2 linked regions of the Daphnia pulex genome follow. The protein of the gene in region 2 purifies or fractionates together with the protein of the main gene of each other region. This does not show direct contact. Links are inferred from orthologs where the notes say so. Each region holds a gene or a part of one and is shown on either strand. Other genes may lie near its edges.

Region 1 (2,876 bases), on a different chromosome or scaffold from region 2:
GAACTTGACAAGTTTATTTTACTTAACTTTTTTTTAAAGAAAGTGAATTAAACTTGGTTCCATTACTAAATGATTTGGAAATCATAAAATTTAAAATTTAAGGTCAAATTGTATCTATTTCAGTTAGTTGTTAACATTTTCAGTGTAGGCAGGGGAGAGAGCTTAGGACATTTAAATAGCGTGGGATGTGATGTGTCATTGACATTGACTCATTTCATTTAACGGTTCGGAAAATATTTGAGGAAATAATTCAGTTGAAAGTATTGCAAAATATGTTGGAAAAAAGTAGGCCAGTTAGTTTTATTTACGCATTTACAAGAAATGCCATAAGCCAGTATCGCCAGGTCTCGTGCATTTGTTGCGTAAAATCGATCTTTCCTATTCGCAAGGACGTTTAACCGGTTTTTTAATCATATTCATTCTACATTCTAGCGAGGTCCCGTAATGTAGATATCTCGAACAAGATAGCTCATGAAAAATCTATAAACAACGGCTTTCATCCTCCAGGGTTTCTATTGATAACATTACACACCCAAATTAACACCCTTCTGTTGTCAAAAATCAGTATCCTTCACTTTTCATTTTTGTCTGATTATAAAAAGAATATATGTTCATGAATACACTACACTTTGTCATGTTTGAGTACTAAAACAAAATTCTTCAAGAAATCCTTTTTTATTACTTGGACAAAAAAAAATCATACACCATATGGGATAGTTAGATGGAAAATTGACATTTGACAATACACATCACAGTCAAAATCTTTAAATGGGTTTGATCTTGAAGTGGAGACCAATGAGAGAGAACACGAGACACTTCAAATCCTGGACCAGATAGTAAAATGCACGTAATCCATCAGCATCTCTGTAAAATATTAAGGGAAATTAAACTAATTTACTGGTTTCAAAATAATATAGATTTACTTTGATTGATTGACATCTACAAGGGAGCCAATCTTTGATGTTGAGAATGAAATGTGTTCATCTCCCATGACAATTTCAAGCTCTTGTCTTCCAACACGATCAGGAGTTGGCCACAGGGAATCATCTTCTTGAAGAATTTCAGAGTCTTCGATAACTCGTTTCAACTCATTCAAAACACTTTGATGAACATATGCCTAAAGAAAGAAATCAAATGTTGCAGATCTTGATAAACATATATCTTGTTGAAATTACCTCTTTTCTGATCATGGTGTCATTTTTATAATTGGAATTATTGGCGTATCTCAGTTTGCCTAAAAAGAAATTAGGACGACCCGGTATTTAGTGAAAGGTGCAAATGTGACATCAAATAACATGATATTTAGTTACCATCAGGCCTAAATTCAAACTCGAGAAACTCGTGGCCGAATTTTCCCTTGTGCCCAACATAATATCGTAAATAAAACTCGCTTTTCGGCATTTTGTGTAATAAATTACGATTTGTAAATTTCAGTGAAACAACCCACGCTACTCGCTTGTGTTCTACTGCTGGTTACCCCCTCTCCAAAACAAGCCGAAACATTCATCCCTAAACACATTTTACAATGTCGTTCGCTTTGCAGTGTAAAAAACCATGGTGGTTTAAACCGGGTTTTAACTCAAATTTAATAAATATACTTGGTAATTTGACGATTTGACTAATTTACCGAATAAATTTCATCGACGAATTCAAGTTTAGACAAGTTATTTAGTTTGCAAATTTACCGCCCAGGCGCTCTGTCGCATTTTCAAACCAGGCAAACCGTAATCTCGACTTTTCTCGAGCACAATGCTGAGTTTTAAAATGGAAAAAAAGAGTTGATAGTTATTTTCAATCAACTTCACACTAATTGAATAACATGCGCAAATTTATAAACTATGATTTAAGTTCAGTACGAATGTTAAAAAGAAAAAACCTAATAAGAGGTGAAAGAAAAAGAAGGAAAAAACAGCCCTGCATAAGTAATGATTCCCATGGCAGGTTATATAAAGCCCAAGTCAACGCCAACAGATAATAAGACTGCTTAGTAGTTTTGGTTTACAAAAGTTTTCAGCAGATATTTCGAGATGGGTCTTTTATTGGAAATCGTTGTGATTTGGGTTTGGGTGAAATATTTTACCGAAAAATCTTCTCCTAGTACCAAAAATCAGCATTCATCAGCTGAATACCCAAACAGCGTCGATGTTGAACCGGAAGTTTGTCAAGACACCAGACAGCGGCTCACAGTGGATTCGGAAATGCTAACAACAACCAGCATTCCCGATGAGCAATTCCAAACAGAGGAGAATGGCAAGTTGAAAAGAGACAATGAACGTTTGGCAAATCAAGTTATCCAACTGAAACTTGAACTTTCCACGTTGAGCTCAGAACATGACGAGGTACGTGACGAGCTAATTTCTACCAGGTGTGAACTGTATGCCAAAAATCGAGACATCACCAACTTCGAGAAAACCATCTCGCACCTGAAGAACAACCAATCAGCACTGAATGTCGACGACGTTGATGATTTTAATCCTGCCAACACCAAGTCCGCACTAGCACAGAACAACGTGATACTAGTCCCGGAACAGGAGGATAAGTCGACTCAAACCGTGGATGTGCAACTTCCTACGACGGTCGTTGATAACAGGATTGAGGAACTTGAAGATCAGTACAAAAAGATATGCGCTCATAATACATCTATGCAACGAAAGATGAGAGGGTTCCACGCTGCCCGTAATATTCTTCAAAGCGCAAACGAAAAGCTTGTCCTCCAACTAGACAGCAAAGCAAAAGAACTTGAGGAAGAAAAAGCCTTGTCAAAGAAGAAAATCCAGGAGTTAGAAAGCGACCACCAGGAAAGCGTCGGAAAAATTCGACAATACTACCAAACTTTGCTTAACAACAGAAACTGCAAAAACAATGAACTTGAAGAA
Region 2 (4,563 bases):
ACGTTGCTGTGTCATTCGATCACGACTCGATCAAACCCCAACTCTCCTATACAGCAGCAGAACGGGCGAACCTTTGGATCACGAAAGGAGGTGGTTGGGGGGACTCGATGTGTGTAAAGAAACGAGAGATGACCATATAAGGCATGTAGAACTTTATACGGTAAAAAAAAATAAAGAAAAATAACAACAAAAAATAAAAAAAAGATGCTAGAGCCAGCCCATTCTAGCGTGAACCAGCCATCGTCTTGGTGAACGAACGGGGCCCAGGTGTATAAGGTCCTATCCTGTTGGCAGCAGACTCCTCGTGTGCAATGGCCTCGTCCTACTTTTTGTTCTCATTTCCCAAAACGTACACAAAATACATACACCCAGATCACGGGCTCATCCATCTGTGATAATCCGCACGGTGCCGGTGATGCTCACGCGCATCACATGGTGAGAACACAGTCAAATGTTCTGTTATGTGCTGCACAGCCGAACTCGCTCACGGCCAGTTGATGATTATTATTTCGGCCAGGTGTGTGTTTGTTACTCTTTCAGGTCGCGTCGGCAATCTGTCGCCTGAATTCTTTCACAATAGACACAAAGTCTCGGTGAACGCATTGTTGTGGGAGCCGATTGGAACGGATCATCAGCGGATCCGTCAACGTAAATTGTCTCCCGCTAAAACCTCAACACATGTGCTGCCTGCAGGAACTGAGTGTTTCAACTGCTGCTGCTCGTCTTCTTCCCTCTTCAAGGTCACGTGACGTGACTTTGTGTGTCAATGTGGGCCATCCCGAAAAAAGAGGGAGGTGTGGCCTTTTCAAGCTCTTGATGTCGTACGCACCCACCAAAGGGGAGAAACAACCAACAGCCCCCAAAAAACCAAAAAGACCAACATTACCATATATGGTCAAGCGACGCATATATTCACGCCGGCTCCCACGCCGGCGTGAAACAGCGACAGCAGCGCCACCGTCTCGCCTGGTTACCTATATTTTCTCCTTTGCTCTTTTACATGTAGACATTTCGTCTGAAATCGGGTTGCGCTTCCGCCACACCACCACTTGGCCTTTTGGCAGATAACGATTAATCTTAGCCAGCAGCCCATTGTGTAATTTCTTGGCTGTCTCGATTAGCGCAAATACCAAACGGAAATGAATGACGTCACATTTTTAGACTTGATGACTCACGTCAGATTATTTACATCATCATCGATGACTGACCGAAGCCTTGAGAAAAACAAAAGTTATCGCCTAGCTGTAACTCATTTGTTTCGACATTGACATTTTGATTGGGTTCCTTTATCTTGTCTACTTAATTTCGGGATTAAATTCTCTTGTAGAGAGAAAATTACGGTTAAAACCACACAAAATTGAGGGGATCACGACGACGAATAGGAAGAAAGAAAAAAAAAATCTTTTCGAGAACTAAACCGGTGCCTGCGTGAAAGCTTCGTCTCTCTCTCTCTCTCGTCGGATAAACACACGAAGTTGACCATATTAAGTCACGTTCTTCTCCACCACCAAAGTCGGACGCTTTTTTCTCTTTCTCTACTTTTGAAAATGGGAAAAAAAAGACGATTCTCATGTTCCGGTTCTTCACACAACTGACTTGAACTTTGTTCTCTAACTGACAGATTAACACACACACAAAAACTCTTTGATAAAAACATTTAAGACCCTCAAAAGTTCAAAAGTGTGTGAGAGAAAAAAAACCGATTTAAACATGTCCTTACATGGTGTTGGACGAGTGCATCCAGATCCCAGTGTCCCAAGGTCAATTTATAGTTGATAAAAAAAACAAAATTTATCCCGATATTAAAATCCAAAATGGCCGAACGTGAGTTTTTTCCCCCCTTCAAATATTATTAGTCTTCTCAATAATGACAGATGGGCAGTTCCTAACATAAGGAGGATGACCTGAAGCCACTATCCCCCTCGTCAAATTACCACAAGTTGTGTGTGTGTGTGACGTACAAGTAAAAAATGGCGTCGTTCGTTCGGGGAAAAAAAAACTGTTGACGAGGGAAACAACGTCTGGAGAAAAAATAAATATAAATTCTTCAAGCGTAAAAAATAACGAAGAGATTCTTTTTCCTGCGGGACAAAAGAGCCGGCCACGACCGTTTTAATCGTTTTGGCGAAAGAAAAAAAAATGATTCGGTTGTTGCTCTCGTTCGAATAGCTTCTGGCGCGGCCACACGGTGAACAGAACGAAGAAACGGAGATTTTCATTTTTTTTCATTTTTAAAAAAAATAAATTTTTTACCCCGGAACACGACAATGAACATCCCGGCCACCATTTTGATGGTTGAGTTCCAAAACCAACATCATGTGGCCGGTCAGTAGCCCCCACTGATGATCCAAGAGCAAGTAAATCAGTCGAGCAGGAAGGAAGGATGTCGTCTATAAATTCCTCAACAGAGCGTGATCGAGATATCTCTGTGCGTGTCACACAAACTGGCGATAAACCTCATCAGACTACCAACTCGTTTCGACGTTCGTCAATGCGACCGAATGATGAGAACTTGTCATACGAATAACCCACCTGTCCCACACGATCAAAAGAATAATGAGAGAAAATGTTGTTACCAAATGTTAATTAAGGGCAAACAGATGAAGAAGATGCCAGAAGATTTGAGAGAAAATGGGTTTTTGTTGCCAGACGACGTTATTTTAGTTCACTCCGTCCGCCGTTGGGGGTTTCTCACAATAAAAAAGATGGACTCGCTTGTTTTACCTACAGGTTGGGGCCAACAAAAAATACGCACATTTGATTCCATTACACGCATTCCCTTAACTACAGAAACAAAACACATAAAATAAAACCCACGAAACCTAACCGAACGAATCTAATGATTTCAAAACAACAGCAATAATCGTCCATCAAAGAAATTCGAGCAGAGTTTCAAAATTTCGACAATAAATTTCAAGCGACCGATATTACGGTTGAATGACTTTTCATCTCTTTATACAACAAGTGGTTGTGTGTGTGTATAAATTATTACCAGCCGAGGAAGAAGAAAAAAGACCATTTTGAGCTGCATCACAGCCACTCGTGGGAAGAAGAAGAAGAAGAAACGCCACCTGACGGATTGAACAACCGGCGGGTGGGGGAAGGGATTCCTCGAGCGGCAACGTTGCCAGTGAGGGAAGCCGGTTTTTAAGATTGCCTTTTATGGTCACGTACTTTCTGATTGGCTGGCTGGAAAGACTTCACAGTCAGACGGAGAAAAAAAGGCCCACCATCGGAATGCCGAATATGATAAAATTTAAAAAAATAAAAAATAAACAAAAAACAGTTCTAGTTGGTGGGGGGAGAAGAAGAAAGAAGGAAATGATGATGACGGGAAAAGATGAAACAAGAGGGGAGACATGTCAGCCATTTTCTCTTCTAACCCCCCCCTTCAAACAACCTTTTGTTGTAATCAATTCTCCCAGGTGAACTTTCTCTTCGAGTCGCGCCAAAAGATGTATAACACGAGCCATCCGCTGATAATCTCATCAAAGTTTATTTTAAGGCTATTTAAAAGCTACTATGCTACACAGGTAGTAAACAACAAAAAAAACCGTTGAAACCCCTAAGCTTTTTTCCCGTTCGTGTAGCAGTGCATCCCCCCCCCTCCACTTGTTCTACCCTAAAAAATCAAAATGGCCGCTCTCAGGTGAAACACCGAGCTCGATCGGAGACAACAACCTGTTGCGTGTATATATTTTTCTCAGTAAATAAAAAAAAAATAAGATGCACTGCTCATCATCCCTGCGGGCCAACTCGATTTCCAAAATGGCGATTAAATTCATTCAGGTCAAATGGGAAATATTTTTAAAAAACACTGGCTATACCCGACCCGCCTTACAGATTGGCTCAATTTGAGAACCCATGTCCTTATTTAGGTTATTTCATAAAAGATGACGGATATAATTGAATCAAAAAAAGAGTCTGATTGCTGAAATCCACGCAAGTTTTTTATTGGCATTATCAAATATTAAGAAGAAGTGTCCGTTGTTGTCTCATTGTGACGTCATTTTGTTCTTTTAGTCAGGGGGGCTGATTCCAGGACCATATCTGTATAGTGTGTGTGTGGCGTGTAGAAAAGTCTGTCCCAATATGGGCAAACTCTAGTGGCCGTAGCCGTAGCCCGCCAGTAGGGCTGTCTGCTGCTGCTGTGGACTTTGATAGCAGCGCCCCCTATATAAAGCCGGCACTCGGTGGTGTAGGAGCGCATTAGCACCGGCACCCCGGCAAGGAATAGTTCGATACCAAGGTGGGTCCTCTCTTCTCTTGCAACTTTTTCTTCTTCTCTTTTTAAATTTCTACTTTAATTTTTTTTTTAAATCTTTTGGAAAAAATTTGTCTACGAGAAAGAAATTTCTTTTGCTATTTTTCACGACGTTCAAGTGGTTCAAAAAGTGATTTTTGGTTAAAAGAAAAGAAATTGGTGTGAATCGAGCCAACAAGTGGTTGATGGGCGTTACCGAGTGCGCGTCACATTCTTCTTGACTTCTTCATTCTTTTTGTCAATTGCACCCACATTAACGAAAAGTTATTTGCACACCAACAGGGATCCCCTCCGTCGAA

Evidence for each region.
Region 1: the proteins of partner of Y14 and mago-like (region 2) and protein mago nashi homolog purify together in Drosophila melanogaster (affinity purification with western blotting; 4 studies listed by BioGRID, with this or other methods). This does not show direct contact. The link is inferred for Daphnia pulex from reciprocal best matches to the Drosophila melanogaster genes Pym and mago.

Annotation. Positions count from the first base shown.
Region 1 is NC_060025.1:2,833,507-2,836,382, forward strand, and holds protein mago nashi homolog, read right to left. Parts: upstream 1,499-2,876; 5' UTR 1,402-1,498; coding exon 1,311-1,401; intron 1,235-1,310; coding exon 1,176-1,234; intron 1,118-1,175; coding exon 924-1,117; intron 865-923; coding exon 765-864; 3' UTR 657-764; downstream 1-656. Other genes in the region: uncharacterized protein MCAP_0864-like, read left to right, coding at 2,028-2,876. UniProt on the Drosophila melanogaster protein: Core component of the splicing-dependent multiprotein exon junction complex (EJC) deposited at splice junctions on mRNAs. Involved in exon definition of genes containing long introns, including the rolled/MAPK gene.
Region 2 is NC_060028.1:8,802,797-8,807,359, forward strand, and holds the start of partner of Y14 and mago-like, read right to left. Parts: upstream 3,076-4,563; 5' UTR 2,993-3,075; intron 2,946-2,992; exon of another isoform or gene 2,828-2,945; intron 2,725-2,827; 5' UTR 2,577-2,724; intron 1-2,576. UniProt on the Drosophila melanogaster protein: Regulator of the exon junction complex (EJC), a multiprotein complex that associates immediately upstream of the exon-exon junction on mRNAs and serves as a positional landmark for the intron exon structure of genes and directs post-transcriptional processes in the cytoplasm such as mRNA export, nonsense-mediated mRNA decay (NMD) or translation.